3 linked regions of the Drosophila melanogaster genome follow. The protein of the gene in region 1 purifies or fractionates together with the protein of each later gene. This does not show direct contact. Each region holds a gene or a part of one and is shown in the gene's direction. Other genes may lie near its edges. The genes, in order: Helz, Patr-1 and PAN3.

The links.
Region 2: the proteins of Helz (region 1) and Patr-1 purify together in Drosophila melanogaster (affinity purification with western blotting, with the first as the bait; one study listed by BioGRID). This does not show direct contact.
Region 3: the proteins of Helz (region 1) and PAN3 purify together in Drosophila melanogaster (affinity purification with western blotting, with the first as the bait; one study listed by BioGRID). This does not show direct contact.

The regions. Positions count from the first base shown.
Region 1 is NT_037436.4:14,787,359-14,793,599, forward strand, and holds the start of Helz (helicase with zinc finger), read left to right. Parts: upstream 1-2,576; 5' UTR 2,577-2,714; intron 2,715-3,192; exon of another isoform or gene 3,193-3,246; intron 3,247-4,078; exon of another isoform or gene 4,079-4,192; intron 4,193-4,512; 5' UTR 4,513-4,602; intron 4,603-4,669; 5' UTR 4,670-4,772; coding exon 4,773-5,102; intron 5,103-5,302; coding exon 5,303-5,906; intron 5,907-6,241. Other genes in the region: Tdrd3 (tudor domain containing 3), read left to right, coding at 1-1,855, 1,961-2,230.
Region 2 is NT_033777.3:17,041,114-17,049,679, forward strand, and holds Patr-1 (protein associated with topo II related - 1), read left to right. Parts: upstream 1-2,450; 5' UTR 2,451-2,536; coding exon 2,537-2,575; intron 2,576-2,745; coding exon 2,746-3,559; intron 3,560-3,789; coding exon 3,790-5,318; intron 5,319-5,435; coding exon 5,436-5,681; intron 5,682-5,737; coding exon 5,738-6,016; 3' UTR 6,017-7,308; downstream 7,309-8,566. Other genes in the region: Trm7-32 (tRNA methyltransferase 7-32), read left to right, coding at 1-592, 650-754; bdwf (bedwarfed), read right to left, coding at 925-1,500, 1,557-1,949.
Region 3 is NT_037436.4:3,068,515-3,074,577, forward strand, and holds the start of PAN3 (Poly(A) specific ribonuclease subunit PAN3), read left to right. Parts: upstream 1-2,618; 5' UTR 2,619-2,793; intron 2,794-4,032; exon of another isoform or gene 4,033-4,246; intron 4,247-4,566; 5' UTR 4,567-4,930; coding exon of another isoform or gene 4,931-4,964; intron 4,965-6,063. Other genes in the region: CG32486 (uncharacterized protein), read right to left, coding at 1,648-2,025. UniProt on the Drosophila melanogaster protein: Regulatory subunit of the poly(A)-nuclease (PAN) deadenylation complex, one of two cytoplasmic mRNA deadenylases involved in general and miRNA-mediated mRNA turnover.

The DNA.
Region 1 (6,241 bases):
GCAGCTTATGCAGGGATTCCTGCTGCTAAAGTCCAGTGAAATTCAGCTGCTCGGCGGCCGTGTGGATGCACTCTACGAGAAATGGGATCTGGCCAGGACCATGATGAGATATGCGCGCAGTGGGCGCCCCTTGAATGGGACATCAGCGCCACCCCCGTGGGTGGCATTTGGCCGAAAAATCGATAGCAACGCCGAAAGCGAAATGAACTTTAAGAGCCTGGGCGAGGGCGACAAGGACAAGCCGGCAAAGGAGAACGAAGAGTTCAATGCCATGCGCACAGAGGCCATTGCCGTGGCCACCAAGGCCGGCGGCAAGAAGATCTTTGGCGGCGGTGGCCAGAACATTATCGATCACAATGTTAAGAAGATCCTAGACAAGGGCTTCAGCGAGGAGGAGGCCCGCAGTGCCTTATCTGCTACCCGAAACAACTTGGAGCGCGCCCTATACAATCTAAAAAGACGCAGTGAAGCTGGCGGTGTGGGTCCGATCGAATCCGTGGGTCGTCCGGGACGCGGAGATCGTCCGCCCAGAGAGGGAAAGCGTGGAGCTAGCGCCAAGGACGAAGTTGAAGCACCCAAGCCGGCTGCCAACACCACGCTGTTTGATTTCCTAACCAATAAACTGCCCGCCAAGGAAACACCGGCCGCTAGTAATGCAGAAACCTTCGCTGCCGCTCCAACTGCCGCTCCGACTGCCCCACCCACTACCAATCACTTCAATCCATTTAAGCAATATGGAAGCTCGCGCTTCAGCGATTCCGAGAGCAAACCTTCAGCTATGGGCGGAGGCGGCAAGTTTGCAGATCGTTCTAGGTTTGAGAACAACGTATCGAGCAGCTTTGCCGCACATCGTGGTGGACATGTGGGTTCGTCGCGAGGCGGTGGCCGTAACCGGGGTGGCGGCAGGGACGAAAGGCCACCAAGAGAGGAGCGAGCCTACAGGGAAGACAGGCCTCCGAGGGAAGAAAAACCGCCGAAAGAGGAGAGACCACCGCGAGAGCGAGGAGCGTTCAATGATCGTGCAGCTGGACGTTACAAACCAGAAACGCCAACCGTAAAAACCGCAAATCGCAATGGCTCGGATAACGTATCGTTGAAACCGAATTCCGAGATTAAGCCAGATCATGAAACAACCAATGGGAAGGACCACACTGGCAACCGACGTGGCAGCGAACGAGGCAGCAATCGTGGAGGCTCCAATCGAGCAGAGAACGGCAACGCCAATGGCAACAGACGAAACAAGCCGGCAGCAAGCTTAACTTCGGCGAGTTCTGCAGCGAAATCGACAAATAGTGCTGGCGATGATTTCAACGCCCGTTTGAGTAAGATAACCGAGGAAACAGCTAATCTCAAGGTGAGCAGTGCGCCAAAGCGAGAGAATCGACGTAAGCAAGGAGGACAAGCCAATCGCCTGGCGGGATCGGGCACAGAAACAACGCAGCAGCAGCAGCCAGCACAGTTGCATTCGCAGAAGCCAGAGAAGGCTCAAACCAACCAAAAGCATCACAATCCCAGGCACAATTCGCAGGCGAACTACAGTCAATTGGCGAATGGCTACACTTACGATCCCAGCAAGATCATGGGTTTCCAGAGCAAGGAGGCCAACGAGTTTGCCATGAACCTTCTAAAGAGCCAGGGTGTTACACTGCCCAACGAAAAACAACAGGAGGAGGAACAGCAGGAATCGCCACCCATGTCCTTTGGCCCCGTTTCCGCTCCTGTTTCCCGTGCGCAACCTGCTCCAGTGGCTGTGCCACAGGCTGCGCCACGGGATCAGTTCGGCATGGTGCCAGGCGATGCGTGGATGTGGCAGAAGGGCGACTTGTGCATGGCCAAGTATTGGGACGATGGAAGGGTGAGTTTAGGTCGATAAACTGAAAGTACATTCGTAATTGTAGTAGGACAAAGTATTCAAATTGATCTATTGAACTTAACTTATCATTCCTTCTTTATTTTCCAGTATTATGAGGCTGAGATCACGGGCGTGTCGGAGAAAACTTGCGTGGTCTTCTTTATGGGCTATGGAAACCATGAGGAGGTATTGAAGGTCGACATCCTGCCCATCACCGATGCCCAAAACAGGCCACTGAGCAACTCAGCGCAGCAGCAGCAACCGCATCTGCAGCAACAGCAACCGCATCTACAGCAGCAGCAACATTCACGCTACCGCGGAGATCGTCAGACGCAGCAGCAGCAAGTCTACGTGCCGCCCCACAAACGAGAGCATTGAGACAACATGGTAACAGCCTGTTAACAACGTATTTAAATCAATTAACATGTTTCGAATAAACAACTTTACAGAATATTAAAACTATGAGTACGTATTTTGTAATCTGCTGACTTTCATATAATTTAAAGCGTACTGTTGATTACGTCTTACCTATTAAGTGAATATATCTCCTATAACGTGAAAAATTGAATTAAGCAAAGTTTTATTTAATAATTTAGTAATTAACATTTCTTTGTAAACATTATTCGAATTCGATTAATTCCTGGCGCAGTACTATCGATTGTCCCTGATTTCTGCGCGACATGTTCAGCACTATTTCGCGCCGCTGCTCAGCACTGGTGCATTTCGCGAATTTTCCCTCATACATACATAACTTATTTTTAACATTTTTCGACGTGATGTGCATTTTCTCTCATAGTTTTGTGCTTAACCATGTAAAATAGAATTAGTCCGTAGTGTACAAACAATAGGATTTAGTGCAAAGGTAACGCAAAAAGAGTGCAAAAGCCCGAAATGTACGCACAAATTGGCCAGCAAGTGTACAGCTGGCTGGCTGACTTGCCATAAACGCGCTGGAAAGGGTTCAGCGCAGTAAATTTTGCTTGCTGAGCATGCAAAACGATTAACGAGCCGTATAAATAACTGACTAATCAGATAAAAGTGCAATGCGGTCATATGCATGTATTGTGCGCATATATTTTCATATGATGGCAAAATCATCGTGTAGTACATGCGCCAGTGTTGTCAAGTTCGCATGCGGTGTTGCAAAGCGACGGTTGTCGATATTCGTGCAATGTTTTGTGCCGATTTTATTGAGCAATTAACATGGCATTAAAATAAACGAAATTAAATTATTATTGCCCGTCATTAAATGTGTTGCATGTGTCACTTCTTAAATACTGGAAAATATGATTGATCCCACCATTCATTTCCACATGCGATACTCGGCGAGTGCCTTGCGAAGTTGGCCAACACTGGCGACTGTCTGCTGTTTTCAGCACGTAAAAAGAAAAATGGTAAAATAAATCCTTCTCGATTCTCGGGCTTGGTGCAAATTTACAATTAAATACGCTTCAACCATAACCAGCCACATAAACCGTAGACTAACATCGGAAAATTCGTGAAAAGTGCCTTTGTTTAGCCTGCAAACAACTGAAAAGACAACGTCAGGCAAAGAAAATCCGGCCATGTATATAAAAAAGCCAAGAAAAATCAACATTACGCTCAAAACTTCTGGAATTTGCATTTGATCGCCAACTGCGCTCGCAATTTACTGATAAATAATACCCATTTATTGTCGCATATAAATAAAAACCGCACAACAACAAAACGCACGCATACACGCAGCGAAAAAAGTAGCAGGAAAAATAAAAGAGAGCAAGCACCTCTACCAAAAAAAAAAGCAGAAAAATAATAAGAAACAACTTGAAAATTACTTTTAATTATGCTGGCGAATTTTCTCGTTCTGTGCAAGTGTTTTCCACCGGATTCTCCTCCCCCCGAGATGCCACCCTCCTCCGAGTTTTCCGTCCCCCTTTTGTGCCGGTGCGAGTGTGAAAATTGCTCTTATGAAATTTTGCGTAACCGAATTAGAATGAAAATTGTGTAAATCGAAAAATAAAGACACAGCACTTTGGATTGTTTATCATACATATGTACATATATACATATATATTCTTAGTTGCAGGCGCACTCTATAAATCCGTCTGTATATTTGTACTAAGTACACACAATTGTTTGGGAACCGATAAGAAGCGAGATATAAACAATTTCTGTTTTGGATTTAGCGAACATTACTGGCAGTCAACGAAGATGATTTAATCAATTCTTCAATATCCAAATAATTATCCGTACAAACAAGCCGGTCTTTAAAGTAATCTAAAATGTGAAATCGCCAATAGGAAAATTCAGGACTAGAATACTTAAGATGTGAAATTGTGTGCAAATTTCAAGAACACAACGGTAATTATAAACATTAAAGATTACAACATACATTAATGTATAGTACTATTATAAACCAAAGACAATAAATGTGCTTTATTGAAATAACTAAGTGAAAGTAAACTCTACATGAGAAATAACTACTTAAAAACATAAATACGAAAGAAAACAACACGTGCTCTATAAAACCAAAAATATAACATAATATAACATAACATTAATAACATAACCAAATCTAAAAACATTACACTCAACCAATTCACAATAAAAACATAAATAAGCCGTATATCCGCCATACGAACATGAAAATAAAAACTAAAACCAAACATCTTTCTTTACAGTAAACATAATGCCCGCAAAGTATCTAAAACATTAATGTAAAAACGATAATCGATTTCTTATTATTAACCACACAAAAACTGTTAAATTGTGTAAGTATAAATTCACTGAATAAAATGATCAAGAATACAAGAATACAACTTTAAACTATCCCCACAGAATTACCGTAGAGCTTAGACGAGCGATCAAGACAAGGACCTGAAAACTTCACACATGCATGACTGACCACCCGGAGGAGCCACTAAACACCAGCCAGTAAACGATGGCCGCCGAGAAGGAGATGCAGGCCCACGACATGGTCCGACGACGGAGTTGGGCCCGTGCTGTGGCGCTCTACGACCAGCTGATTGCGCCCAGTCCCGGCCAGGGAAGCGGTGGCCAGAGTGCAGGATCAAGGGCCCAGAAGGACCAGCAGATCGCCTGCCTACTGGGACGATGCGAGTGCCTCCTAGAGCTGGGAAAGTTCGAGGGTTGTCTGGCGGACGCCTACAAGGTGCTCACGCTGCTCTCCGAGCAAACAGAGTGCCTGGCCAGCGTGTCCAGGGCACGCCGATGGCTCGTCCACGCTCTTTTCAAGATGCACAAGTACGGGGTACGTATAATCCGGAGTTTACAAGAGCTTATCCCTGCTCTTGTTTTTAAGGTTTTTCATTTCACTGCACATGCTTATATGATTTACCAAGACTTAAGTTTAAAATTCAATGAGCCTTGTATGAGATTGTAACAATGTGCCAAACATACTGAAATTTACTGGAACTATGCAATCATTACCCTTTTCCAACTTTCTTTCAGGATGCCGAAATCTTCCTGAGCAAGTGGATCAACGAGCTGAGCGGCCAGCAGATATACTCGGACATATCGAAAACCCTTGAGCGGTACAAGTCCATCATTCAGATGATCATGAACGGGCAGCACAAGGCGCAGGCCCTGAAGATCCCACACGCCCGTCTCGAGGACGAGATGGCTATACTGGATACCAAACTGGATCACTGGGCCACCAACAACCTGCCGCTGGACAAGTACAGCAAGCTGCTCAGCAACAAGGGCTTGAAGAAGCGGGAGCAGCAGCAGCAACAGCAGCAGCAACAACAGCAGCAGAATGGCAATGGAATCGGCAGTTATGCGAGCAGCAGCAGTAGCTCCTCAACTGGCAGCAGCAGCACGATGTCCAGTTCCAGCACAAGTCTCCACAAGACCAACGATCTGCTGGCGGCCATGAAGCTCACGGCAGGAAAACACCAGCCGGGCTCCGGCGACGGATCTGGCTCGGATCAGGGCGATCAGGCGGCTCCATCGACCACCTGCAGCTACTGCACCATCACCTTTCAGACGAGGAACGAACTGCGACAGCACTGCCAGACCGAGGCGCACCAGAAGGTGATCATGAGCGATGAGGGTGAGTATTTTGAGGTAATAGGCGAAACATTCAGTGCTCAAAACAGAGCCAGCATTTTAAATAGGGCATATTGAAATCGGATAAAGGCAGTTGTGCAGTTCTAGCCTTCTGTGCACATTTTAACCTTCTGGTTAGCGTCAGAATTATGATTTGATAGACATGGCTATAATTAGAATGCCAATGTGGTGTAAAGAGATGCATTGTTTGAAAAGATTGAAGCACTGTTTATACATTCATTCACCTCCAATGTTTAATAGGTCATTTGCCTCTGCAAATGCCAAAATTGCCATTTATGTTTGCATAATTAACATTAACATTTAAATGGCAATATATTT
Region 2 (8,566 bases), on another chromosome or scaffold:
TGAAAAGTCCGCTGTTAAGATCATAGCCGTTGATCTGCAGGCCATGGCCCCGATCCGTGGAATACTCCAGCTCCAGGGAGATATCACAAAGCAGTCGACCGCCGAAGCAATCATCGGTCACTTTGGTGGAAATGAAAAAGCCCAGCTGGTGGTCTGCGATGGAGCCCCCGATGTCACCGGGGTCCATGAAATGGACGAGTACATGCAGCACCAGTTACTTGTGGCTGCTCTCAGCATTGCCACCTGTGTGCTGGAAACTGGCGGAACTTTTGTGGCCAAGATTTTTAAGGGAAATGCCACATCGCTATTGAGCTCCCAGATGCAGATATTTTTCAAAAAATTCGACATCTACAAGCCACCGAGTTCGCGTCCTTCGAGCATTGAAGCTTTTGTGGTTTGCTCCGATTTTTGCCTTCCCGAGGGCTACATTCCTCAAGTGATTAACCCTGCTCGCGATGATATACGGCTACTGGCACAGAAAACAGGGTCGGAAGTAAACCGTCGTCTAGTTCCTTTTATAGCCTGTGGAGACTTAAATGGGTTGAGTGATCCCGAAGAGGGCAAGACTTCCTCCTCAGATGAATCCAAATCAGTAAGTGATGTGCCTAATACTTTGCTTTGTTTTTTTATTCAACCATCTTTCCCACAGAATTTAGAGTATGTTTACGATGCTGTTATGGACGACGCATCTTATCCCCTGGAATTTAAAGAGATTCTAAAGCAAGTCTATGATGAACAACGCCATATTATCTAAATATTTATAAAATAAAACCAAAAAAATTAAATTAAATTTGTATATTAAGTGGGCTTGGGCCAAGCTAAAAGAAATGTGATAAAATTAATCAAAATATTGAATAACTTAGATTATTTAAAGATTAGGTTATTAAGACTACCAAGATATTACTTAATTTTGTGCATATCCCGTTATTTGAGCGACAGCTTTTTTTGCTCGATTTCCAATAGTTTCTTTTTCAGTTCTATTTTCTCAGCCATTAACTGTTCAATTGCCAAGTGATGTCGCTTGTCCTCGTACAGCTTCTGCTTGTACAGGACAAAAAATTCATTGAGTGCAAGTTGAACGCTGTTGGCGGTATCGTGCACCATTTCTAGGTTATTGCTAATCTTGTCAAGCAGTGTGGTCTCCTCCTCCGCCAGTCGACTGCTGGCCAATGCGGCCCGTTTGTTAGATTGCAGGTAAAGCGGGTCAATGTCCGTTTTGTTCTCCTCCGGTTCGTAAACGTACTCGGCGGAAGTCTGAAGGGCGCCACCATCTTCTTCCGGGACCACATCCTCTACTTCGTCCACATCAAATTCCGTGGTGGAATTCTCATGCATTTCATCGTCGGAGACCTTCATAATAATCTGACTTACATCCTCGTTTAATCTACACAGTGTGGCTATTGTTTCCTCCGACGAAGTAAGACTGGTGCCAAAAGGCATGTTCTGCATCTCATTCTTTTCCACCTTTCTCAGGATAAACCTCTTCCAGTCCTTTAAGGCCTACAAACAAATCAACTTATAATGCAAGCGGTTAGAAAAAAAGTAAGTTAGAATACCCTTCTCCAGGTGGCTATATCTTTTCGCGGCGGACCGTGGCTATTAAGTTCGGATGACAGTTCCTCCCACAGCGACTCCAGATTGCCCCGTGTTTCCCACGTCGGATTCTGAAGCAGACGCGGATGTTTCTTCACGAATTCTAACAATATCAGCTCTTGCGTTGAGTTGCGCGGCTTGGCTTTGTTCCGGTCGATGGCGATGGTGGTCTGCGGCTGGAATTTGTACTTGGAGTTCCGGTTGAGTCCCGATGTGGGGTGCATCCTGTTCATGTGCTTGCTTAGATTCGTGGTGGTCGTCTTGTAAGAGAGCTTCGCCTTGCAGATATTACACACCGCAAACGTGTCGTCCACCGCCCGGAAAAAGCACCAGATCTCGCTCGTTTTCCGCTTCATTTCGACTAAGTTGTTTTGGAAAAGGAAACAGGCTCGTAGTTCCGTCCAAAGCAATAGTTCAAGAACTAGTAATTTAGGGATGAGCTTGCGGGCGCTGATTTCAAGTTTCGAACTAGTTCAAAATATCGAATACATTGAAGGAGTGCAAATGCACCTTAATTAGGGCAGATTTTTCATTGATCAGTAAAATCTAATGTTGTTGACTTATTAACCAGTCGTGGTAAGTCCCAAACTGAATAAATAAATATGCAACATACGAAATTTGGCAGTGGTTAAATCATCATTTTTTTCTAACATCACTGTAGCAAAATGCAAACTTATAAATTTAGACAAATCTTCAGTCGTTCACCTATTGAAAAAAAACGTATGAAAAAAATATATATTTTAAATTTGCATGTTAATTCCAACATTTGTAATATGATAATATTTATATGCGAGCGAAATTGATGTATTGTGGCGATAGTCAGAAAACCATCGACGTCAGACTATCGATAGTACCATCGATATTTTGACAGCTATACTGCTGAGGTGACAACTTGTCACTGACAAGTCATGATAATTTTTTGTAAAGCAATAGATTTATCGCCATGGATGACTCGTTTTTCGGCTTTGACACGAATCTACCGGTAAGCAGCGGTCCCGACATTGCGGCTGCAATATCCGGGATAGCGGGCCGCACAGGGGTCGGCAAATGCCCAACGCACACTTTTCACTCGGCAAATAAGGGGGCATCGAAGGCCACCGGGGGCAGAAAAAGTAGGAATGTCTAATTTACTTGCTTCAATTGTTTCTCCAGGACGAAGATGGTGGCGATGGACGCATCGTCGAGGCGGAATACGATGCCCTCAATGACGAAACCTTTGGATCCGCTATAAATGGCGACTGGGAGGAAGCCCATGAGACGATGGTACGCCTGGGCGGGAATGGCGAAAGGGTGCGGAAGCGACCCGCGGAATCTAGTGGAAATACGGATTTTGCCGATCAGGGAAATGGTGCCTTCCTGCGACACGCTAATCCGCTATCATCGGCGCCCTCTTCAAGCGGCTCCACTCCGGCCCCTTTGAATGCCCCCTTCCGACAGTCTCGTCACATAGGGGACTCGGACTTGGAGCTAAACATTTCCTCCATGAAGTTGGACGACATGGACCTGTCCTCTTTCACCACTGATAGCGAAGCCGGTGGGCTGAGCAACCGCATTAAGCTGGACTCCGGGGTCTGGGGATCACAGCCGTTTCCCAACAACCAACATTTGTTCCGCGAGCCTATGCGCAGCGCCTTCAAGCCACAGCAGCAGCAACATCAGCAGCACCAACCACAACAAATGAAGCCACCGCAGGAAGCGAATGCCAACTTTGCACTGAATCCACAGCCTTTTCCAAAAATTACAACTCTCGAGGATATAGAGCGCAATATGATCATTCAGCAGGCCATTCCGAAACAACAGCAGCAGAGCCAGCAACAGGCGGAACGCAAAATGTTTGATGATTTTAGTCTGGGTAACAGGCAGCAGGTGCCTACACCAACCATGTTGCAGCAACAGATGTTGCAGCAGCAGCATCATCAGAAACAACAGTCGCAGCAGCAGCCGCCACAACAAGCGCAGCACAAGGGTAATTATATATTAAAACTAAAAAGTATTGATGCATACAAAAACAGGCCTCAGTATTTAAAAAGAAAACATGTCCAACAAAAAGTATAATTCCTAAAAATATTTATTTCTTACGAATCTATTTTTGGGGACAATTTTTAAGACAGATTTAACCATTTAAGGAACAAACTTCAAGTCCCTGATAGATTTCTGCGACATATGAAAATAACACCATTTAACAATTCATTGCAGTACCCCCTGGCTTCTTGGGCACGCCGCACACCTCTCCACCGAGGCCAAATTTGGGTTTCCCCGGACCCGAGCTACTGCCCACGCCATCGTCGCAGCAACAACTAAACGGTATTGGTGGCAACCGAGTGCCGCCCGGATTTATTTACCCGCAAGGTCTGCCCGGGAATATTCCGCAATTGCCCCAGCATCCTCTAATGCAGCAGCACATGCCGCACAACTTTCCACTGCCCGGCGGCAACCAGCGACCTCTACCCAATCCACAAGCTCTGCCCACGGCCCTGAACAATTTCGCGATGCATCCAAGCTTCAATGCGATGCGCGCCGCTGGAATCCATCCAGGGGCTTTTATGCAACCTCCCCATCCGCACCAGATGCTGCCACCGCGAATGCCGCCGCACCCGCTGCAAGCTGCCACAAGTCTATTAGGTCAGCAGCCACCGAATTCCATGTATAACATGTTCAACATGCGACTAGTGCAAGAGATCCAGCAAAACCATCCGCTGCTTCAACAGGCTGCTGTTGTACGCCAAATGCAACAGAGCAGAGCAGGATCCGTGGCCAGCGATCGTCAGAGATCGCAGGCGCAACAGCAGCAACAAGGACGACGTCCAGATGGTACAGGAAATTACCCGCTGGAAGAGTACGATGAATATGCCAACCTAATGAGCACGCGCGACAAGCACTGGCTAATCGGAATCCAGCTTTCGCAGCTGAATACGGACACGCCGTATATCGACGACTATTACTACACGGTGTTCAGGGAGCGCAAGGCCCAACAGAACGGGCAAATGCGCAACAGTCAGGCGCACAAGGACAACCAGTTGAATCATCCGCTTACTCAGCCACGCGGCCATGCGCAGCTTATTCTCGTACAGTTGGGCAACAAGAATGGTACTCGCAATGGACACGGACGTGAGCGACGCAACTCGGAGAACACCAACAGCACGTCAGGCAACACGAACAATGGATCAGGTGGTAACAACAACAACCTGACAGGCTATATATTCTCACCACTGAAGTTCGAGAACTCACTGGGAAAGCTACAGTACGGAAGTGTGACAGCTCCGCGAAAAATTATCGATGCTGACATTATGAGTGGTGAATCAAATGCCGCTGCTGAAGCCAACGCAACTTCTTCATCAAAAAGCTCGACTCCGCTGCCCACCTCCGCGAGCCATGATGTAAATCCCAGTAGCATGCGGAAGTCGCGACACATTTTGCTTCTGATTGAAACACTGTATCGCTATCTGCTGAAGTTGGAGGATTTGGAAAGCCCAGAAGTGATGGCCACCATTGAGCTGAAAAAGAAAAAGGAAGCCGAACGGATCGCAGCCCTTGAGCAGCTGGAAATGGCCAATAAAACGCCCGAAGAACGTGCTGCTGAAGCCGCCAATCCGCAAACCATGAATCCGCAACTAAAGAACAAGTTCAACTATGAGGTAGAGACGAAAGCTGCGTTGGTCAATAAATTAAAGGCAGGTCTGGCCTTCGACAAGGTTATCGCCATGATGAATGTGCGCAAGGGAAAGGTGTGTACTTTTTCTTATACTAATTTTAACAAGTGCAACCAAATAGAATTCGATTTATGTTCTAGTGCTATACGCATGAAACTCACTATTTTATTTAAATCAATCTTTCCTTTGCAGATACTTATTAGACGCATAATGCCCTTTATTGCGGATCAAAGCATTCGCTGGGTCGTGTGGAGCGGCGTCTTCTGTTCCCTACAAACAGTGGTGAAAAAGGACAAGGACGACGTTGAAGGCGTCTTGTACGCTCTTTACCCAGAGTTTAAAAAACACGTTAACAAAGCTACTTTCGAACTCCTAGTGAGCATTTCATCTGCTATTACGCTGAATGACAAGAAACTTGCTGGAATTTTTTGCAGTCGCGTAAGTTATCCTCAGTATTAAGTAATAGATACGCGTACTAATTATTAAATTGGCAGTTTGGAATCCTTTCGCTGGTTGCCCTGATACTTCGCGCCGAGGAAATCTACGTCTCGCGAACTGACGCAACTCTTAGCGAGGAGAACAGGCAAAAGTGGCGAGAATTTCTGGCACAGGTTGCATCCTGCCTCAATCGCACTATTCAAAACCAGACCATCTCGGCAGCCATTGAGTCGGATGCAATTCAGCCACTTATGGACCACTTTGAACGGTTTAAAGATCTTAAACTGGATGCACTCTTAGCATTAATAACTGAAGCCAGGCATCAAATTGATTAGGTTGCTTTGACGGATTTTCATTTAACTTGATTGAAGCGTTTCAAATAATTGTGAAATTATATAGCCGAGTTCACTTTGCTTTACTCAATTACGCATATGTTTGTATAGAATATGTATCCAAAACTTACATATGTACGATCGTTTTTACATTTACGCATACTACACAAAAATATTGATACAGGGTATAAAAATCTCATACTGAAATTGAGAAAGTACTCGACTGTCAATAAATTTTGATAATAGTTTGTTAGAAACGTTCTTTTATCCAAAATTGTGTGCACTGTACAAGAAAGGTAGAGAGAGGAAATCATGTTTTATAAATATAATATCGAATGGTAGGTTTTGCTCATTGTACATACTTATATCATTTTATATTCGATAAGGAGTACTTTTCCGGCATTTTCTGTAGAGATTTATAAAGAATAATTCACCCCACAAATTATTCTTTTTTTTTTTTTGTCATCGAATTAACAACTGGGCTCTCCTATATCTTGTAATCACGATTGTAAAAGGAATATCATAAATACGTTTTAAAATTTAAAAGCACCGATTTAATGCGCGATCCATGCATACTCATTTAAATGTGCATCCTTAAGTATCTGCTTATTTTCTGGTATTTGTAAATATCGGTTTAATGAAATTTTACTATACTACCTTTTGGGTTTCATTGAATCAAATTTGTGCAAGACCCATTAAATATAGTCGAGACATTCAGCATAAATGTGTACTAAATAATTAGCATTGTGACAGGTGCAGCCGTATTTATTATAACAAAATGATCAAAATTGTGATACATTTTGACTTTTAAACATAAACGAAGTTCCGATGATCGGAAAGAATTAGTTTAACACACAAATACAAATTTGAAATTAGAAAACAGCAATTTTCACAAAACTTCTGTAACGCAACGGATAGATATTTGTTGTAAAAATCCGTTGTGGAGCATTTTAATTTTATTTCGTTTTTAATTGTATCTACACCATCATTCAATGTTGTTTAATTCATTTTTTTTATTGAAATTCATGTTTTGTATCTGAAAAAAATTCTACTCGACTGCAAACGTCTTGCAAATACTTTAAAACTATGCTTTTTTTTAGCAAACAAGAGTCAAAATACGATAGCTGTCTAAGATTGCAAACACATATACAATAATTGTAGTTTAATTTGTATTTATCACATACAAACACTTCAAACCTTTTCCTATAAATATGTTCGCTGATTCAAAAGTAAATTTTTTTAAATTGATATAATTTCCGAGAGTATAATAAATAAAAAATACCATTTCACAGAACACACCGAAACTAAAACACCTTATTTTTTTGGGGGGGTTTTGAAAAAGATGATATTTAGTTTAGTAAGCAGTCTGATAAAAACACATTAGTTGTCCATTTCAATGATATTTTATTTATGGATTTTTTTAGCTTTCCTTCAAATTTATTGATTTGCTTCCAATTGGTGTTTACGCTTGTGCTATTAAACGGTTTTTCTTCTATAATAATATATTAATCATTTGATTTCTATAAACAATTGTGCCGGGGGGGGGGGGGGGTGCATCATTAATGGCGAACGTGTTTTGTGTCTGTCTGTTTTTGTTTTTGGCGCAGAATCAAGCGTCGAAGTGTCGGCAGTTGCCTGTCCGTAAGGGACATTTTGTTGTGCGGAGGCGCCAAAGTGCGTAACAAGTGGCGGCGGCGCGCTCGGGAATTGTTGCAAATTTCTGAGTCGGCGACGCCAACCACTGGCGACGGTCACCAAGACGACAACTTGTCGGCAGCAGTCCGCCCAGCGCGAAGGGATGCGAAGCCCACTCTCCCGATCCCACCCCACACTGGCAGAGAGCATGCGGTACACTTGGAGAAATAATGTGACTTCAGGGTTAATTTTTACTCTGCAATTCGAATGAGCTCTTAAGTTATTAGGTTTTGCAGGAAAATTTTGATATAATAAAATAAAATAAATTATTCATTAAGCTGTTATGCATTTATTCTTTAAATTCACAAAAAAATATTAAGCAAAATTACGTTTATTTATATATAATAAATTATAATAAGTTCCTCAACTAATATCCTTGCACGCCTAAAATATGTCGATTTCGCATAACCTCCCCAATTTCTCCGAGTGCATCCAAAGGCTAGACTTAGACAGACGATTGTGGCGACCAGTCGCCCGTCGTTGCTTCTTCGGCGACGGCGACAATGGCACGACGACAGGCAGGAGGACAGGACTCTGGCTCTGCCGTGGAGCGGAGCAGACAGTGCCGCAGTTCTGGGCAGGACCAGGACTCAGCGGATGCGGATACGCAGAACTTTGATTTGCGAACGGGCCAAGTGTGCGCCACTGGGCGCCGCTATTATTGCCATTGCCACCAATTGGCGCGCCAAACGCCGCTGTTCTCACAATTAGATGCGAAAATAGCCGGCGCGTCGATGATGACGAGTTATTGTCGCGTCTATCTGGTCGTTGTTTTTGTTGACAACCCCACAATTGGTTCGTTGGCGGCAGGAGGGGATCGTCTTCAATACGCTTCTACCAGGGAACCCATTAATGTAA
Region 3 (6,063 bases), about 12 Mb from region 1:
TATGCTATTGGCGAAAATAAATATAATTCCCAAGTTCATCCTAAATGAACAAGAAATGGATAAAATAAAAACAATACTGGAAAAACAAAATATCACAGTCAAAAATGAACAAAGTATATACAATTTCCTACAAATGAATACACTAAATTACGAACAAAAGATTATTTTTAATATCAAAGTCCCAATTTTTAAACAACCTTTTCATACCCTCGCCAGACTAGTTCCATTACCAATAAATAACACATATTTTGTAATAACCCCAAATTACCTAGCTTATAATATTAATAATAAGAAATTTCATATGACCCGTAAATGCCCCAAACTGGATAATACATTCTTGTGCGACGAGAACTTCTACGTTGATACACCACAGAACAACACATGCCTGGAACACCTTTTGAACGGAGAAAACAGTTCCTGCGATGTACGGGAAACCGGCCCCATCACCGACGTGTTCGAGGCAGAGAGAGGTTACATCTTCGCATTCAACGTGAACAAACTGAAGGTATCCCTAACAAACGGCTCCGAGCTCTCAATAATGGGGTCAGCCATCATCAGATACATTAACGAAACAATACAGATTAACGGTATCGATTACGACGGCACGGTTGACACGTTCCCTGAACAGACGGATTTTGATCTTCCCCCCATGCGAAAAGTAACTAGGAATACCACTATTACGGTACTAAGCCTAGAAAAACTGCACCTCGAAGCCACCCAAACAATGGATAAAATCCTGGCCGTCCATCACAATACTATACAGCACACCTGGACACTCTACACTCTGCTCGGATTGGTAACGTTCCTAGCAGTCATCTTATGGCTGCACCGACGAACGAAACACATCGTCCACATCCACGAGGATCATCACGTACCAATCTACGCGTCATCCATACCTTCGCTATGGCCGTCACTTCGAACTGGGGGGGGAGGAGTTACCACCCCACCCCCTAAACCCCCACGCCTCTAAACAAATCATCGGACACTCAACCGGGAAGACGGCAACTGGAACACCGCATCCGGCCGAATGCTGACATTCCGGCCGAATGCTGACATTACACAAAAGTCGCACTGCAACATTGTCCCCAGCTAGCCAGCCACATGCCGAGTCGGCATGTTCATTATGCTTACAATTAAGAACCTATGTACTTATGTATAAGACGAAAACGGAGGACTCGAGTAGCCACTCTCTGACAATAAACTTCATACTGATTTTGAACTTCAAGAAAGTCAGTCGTATTCTTTATTGGAAATCTTCACACTACAACTATCTGCTGAAACTTAAAAACCTTCATACATTTACACATCATATCTTCACAAAAGGCTCCACCCTCGATCACGGACTTAACTCCCGCCCTCGCTCCCCCTCGCACTCTTTCAATGTTTTCAAGGCGAATAATGCAAGAGCGCCCCAGCTAGACGTCTCGCTCTCGCACAGCTGTGTCTTGCTAGGGTGGAGAGAGGGAGAGAGGTGTTTTACTCTTACAGCTGAGCTGCCACGATTTGTTTGTATACAGAATGAGGCGCACACACACACGCGCACTTGCTGTTTTTCTTCTTTCGCTTTTAAAGCTCTTACTTCCTTTTTTTGATTCTAGTTTACAAGGGCTTATAGTTCAAGCCGCTGTAAATAATCCAAAAACTCACCTGGTACATGGCCGTCTTGGGCAAATCCAGGCAGACGGCACAGCACAGGGCATTGGAGATGCGGTGGGCCAGCTTTTCGTGCATTCCCGAGGCGGCTGCGGCACTGGAAAGCAAGCTGCTGCCGCTGCTGCTGGTGGCACCACCGCCCCCTCCGTCCAACAACTGTTTCTTGGCCGGCGGTTCTCCGCTGCCCTGCGTGTCCAGCGGCACGCCCACCACATTGCCGCCGCCCACCGACGAGGAGGACGACGATGTGGAAGAGGAAGAGGCCGAGGAGGCGGAGCTGGTCGTGGCCACCGCCTGGTTGTCGCCCAGGAGCGGTAGGTTCGAGGACGACGGCGGCTGTTGGACCGCCGAACTGGAGGATTCCACCGACATGATTGGAAATTTTCTTGGAATAATGTTTGTTGTGTTTTTCTTTGCCACTCGCTTCGTACACAAACTCCCACACACACGACCACTAAACTACTACACACACACAAGCAATACCCAGTTTGCTCTCTCTCTCTTTCGCTCGCACACTAAGTATGGCACTTTCTTTCAATTGCCACCTTTCCCCGCTGTCCGTGTCGTGTCGTTCTCTTCTGTGTTCTTCCGTTCTGTTCTGTTTGCAAGCTTTTTGTCCGCCGACACGTCCGCTCGCCAAAAAATTTGTTGTCTTTCTAGAGAGTGTTGTGCGGTGTGACCAAATCTTATATTAGGCAAAATACTAGTATAACGTATCGATGTTATTGGCAAAGCCTATCGATGTTTTTCTATTGTCTGTGTTTCTCCAGCCCTGGTTGATCGTTAGCAGGGACACCATCCCCTTTACAAAGTAATAAAATAACAAATATTATTAAATTAACCATTTCAAAATAAAATAGCATTAAAATAATATAGCAAAATCTGCCTTCATATATATAATTTTACAAGTATATTATTGAAAACGAATCCATTCGTGTTTAATGTGCTGCCCTTATATCCGGCAGTACGGAACTCGTCACTCGCGAGATGCGGTCACACTGCTTGCGGCAAACGGAAAACATGTAAGAAATTAAATATTGTGATTTTGTCTTTAAAATGTACAAAAGTTTGACAAAACACAAACGGCAGGTTCTTTATGAAGTCACCTCTCGCAAAGTGAACTATGACTGGTCAGTGGAGGTACGGAAAACGTGGATTAAAGAGCGAAAAATCGCAGTTTTCTCAGCAGACATTTTTGTATCACTTCGCTGTGCGCTGTGTGTTTGGCATTTTTTGTGTTTGTGTGTGTGTGTGCAACAGCGGCATCAATTTGAAAAATAACAAAAACAAATCGTTGGCGTGTTGAACAAAAAACTATACGTATTTGCTATCTGGCTTGCGTTATAAGAACCATTTGGACAAATTGCGTCTTAAAAATTTGGTGACCAAGATGGCTTCAATTTCATTTTCGGTGGTGAATTAAAAACTTTAATGAAAATAAAAACTTAATGAATTGACTTTTAATTCACGTGCAATTATTATGAAAATTTTTGAAAATTAAAATAAAAATATTTCCAAAAACGTTGTAACAAAACTACACTTATAAATTGGCTTTTGGCTTGCTTAGTGAACTTAGTTAATTATTTCCAGCTGTTCCCACTCAAAAAACAAATCGTATACATATGTGTTCTTATTTCCTTTGCTCCTGCTTTTTCTCTTCCCCTTCTTTTCGTTCCCTTCCCCTTTGCGTCCTCTTCCCCTTTTCCTAGCCAGCTGTTTGTCGCGTTCCACAAATATGGCTGGAGTGTGGATCGCGTTTGGAGCCCAGGCTCCCACATTTCTCTATGTGGAACGCAACCTGTGGCCAGCTGTTGGGTCCTGTTGAACTCCCCCCAGCCAAAAACTTACATATGTATATGTATTTATTTTGTGTATATATGCATGTGTGTATAACAACGCCAATTGCTAGGGTTTCTGCAAAACGTCCTGGCCACTTGAAGGTGAAGTGTTACAATACCATAAAGGGGTTTCGCCATTTTTAAAAGTTATTTTATTACATTATATTCAATAATGGAACTTCAGTAGCGTGTCAAAGGATTTCTCTTTGAAAGAATACGTATTTCATATCCAGCATTTATCAGCTGAAAAACATGAGGGACTTTATACAATCTGTTAAATTTCTTTGCATAAAATGATATATATGTTAATTAAAATTATTAACAATAGCTAAAGTCCATGTAACCCCTTGAGCGCGGATGTTTTCCCAACACTCCTCGAATGGAATCCACATCCACTTTGTTGCACACACAGCTGGCAGTTGTTGTTTTTATCCGACCTCCTGTGCACACACACACACAGACGGACGTACATGTATACAACACTCGGGGGTCGTTTGTGGACTCCATTTGGCTTGGCTGTTGGATCTTCTTTGCGTTTTCTTCATTCGTGCAGCGCCAATCGCGCGGTGTGTGTGTTGCGTTTTTCTTATTTGCAAAATCGTTGGAAAATGGTAATGAAAATGTATACAATATAGCAACAGCAGCTCCTTTCAAGGAAATATCCTCATTAAAGTAATTACGGTACTGAAAGCAATTCAAAAGCTAACAATGAAACAGGCAATTAACTACACAATATGTTGGCTTAGGTTCAGTGTGTATGTATTTTGGATGGTGTTAAATATAAAACTCTAAAAATATGAGTAACCAAGTGCGAAATGAAAAAAAGTGTGGAAAACGTAAGCAAATATGCGCGCAATTGTGTCTGTATATGTGTAGGAAAAAGCGTCCTCGTACACCCACACAGACTCACTTTGGAAAATTTAATGAAATCCAAGCTATACCGCCCTCTCACTCCCACTCACTGTTGCGTTTCGGGATTTCATTTTGTCGCCCCGTTTTGCAAAAACAAACAACTGTTTTTCGCTTACCGTTACTTATTTTAATTCAATGTTCTTCTCTTTCTCGCTTTTTACAGTCGACGCGCCTCAATTGTTAATCATTTGCCCGAAAATGCATTTCAACTGCAAGAAACTTACGTGAAAAAGTGAAAGAAAAAAATATTTTCGAAACGTACAATGTGAAAATGTGTTATTTGAAACTTAGCAGTTAAGCGCGGATTGTATGTATTATTTAAATTTTTGTTTCAATATTTTCTACAAAATTATTAAAAAGAACTACAAAAAAATCGAAAACAAAACGAAAAAACCAAGAAAAAGTTTTTAACTCAGTGCACATTAAAACGAAAACAAACGCAAAAACAAAGCGTAACGAAACGAGAAGGACCACGAAAAGAAAGAGAGCGCACGAGGAATTGGCGAAGGCGGGAGCGAAAGAGAAAAATGTCAACGTTCTTGAACAATTTCTTCCCGGCAGGTAAGCAAAAACAAAGCCAGAAAAGCAAAGGAAATCAAACACAAGCAAAGACAGGGAACGTAAGAGCAGAACCACAGCTGGTGGCAGGAGCGTATTGGAGAGGGGTTGGCGGGGTGAAATGACCCCCCCATCAAACAAGTTGTTCATATACATAGTTATTCTATGATTGTAATAATAAAATTGGTATGTTTATGAGCTTAACTCAGTGATTAATCATAGATCAGCTTTCTTATATTGATCGGTTAGTACGTTATTTTATCTGCCCCTTTTTAAATCCTTCGCACGCCTCTGGCTGGGTGGCATTTAATTGAAAGTCACCTTTGGCATATTTCATAAGCGTTCTCACCGGGGTCATCCTGTAATTCAATTCTGCGCCTCTCTTGTTTTTTCTCTCCACTGGCGGCATGTAAATTGAATTTTCCTACCGAAGCGCATATTGTGATTATTGGCAATTACATGGACGTGACCGAGGAACAAAGGAGGCGAAGGAGATAAGTAGGCAGAGAATGCGAGAGTGAGAGAGAGAGGGATAGGGACGGGATGGAGTAGCGGCCTAGAACAGAGAATCTTGGCATAATCAATCTGCCCCAAAACAATCTATACACTTCCCTTTAATTACGTACATTCCTCGCTGCAATACCATCGATTATCGTTTTGTTATTCCTGGAAACGCTCAGATTCCCATTTACTGCTCCTTGCAACCCCTCTGGGATCAGGAACAAGTTCCACACACTCTGCATTCTCCTCATGCATTTTCTTTGTCCTGCGAAAGAGATGGTCATAGAGAGGCCGAGACAGGGAAACTCATACAGGTACGGCAGGAAAAACCACTTCCTCGCTTCCCTGCCCTTTGCCAAAACCAGAGCCAAAACAATGAGACCAGCACAAAGGCTGCTTTCCAACGGGCACTGAAGCTTGGGATACTCTCTTTAGGGTGACTTTGTACAGTGTAACATTAACATATTATCCCATTATACCATAAATATTTGATCGTCGAAAGGATATTGTACAGGATGTCCTAGGACATTCAGGGTGTTTTTCACAATCATTCTTTACCAAGTAGATTCTGTTTCACATTTCTCAATAAAAATAATTTGCA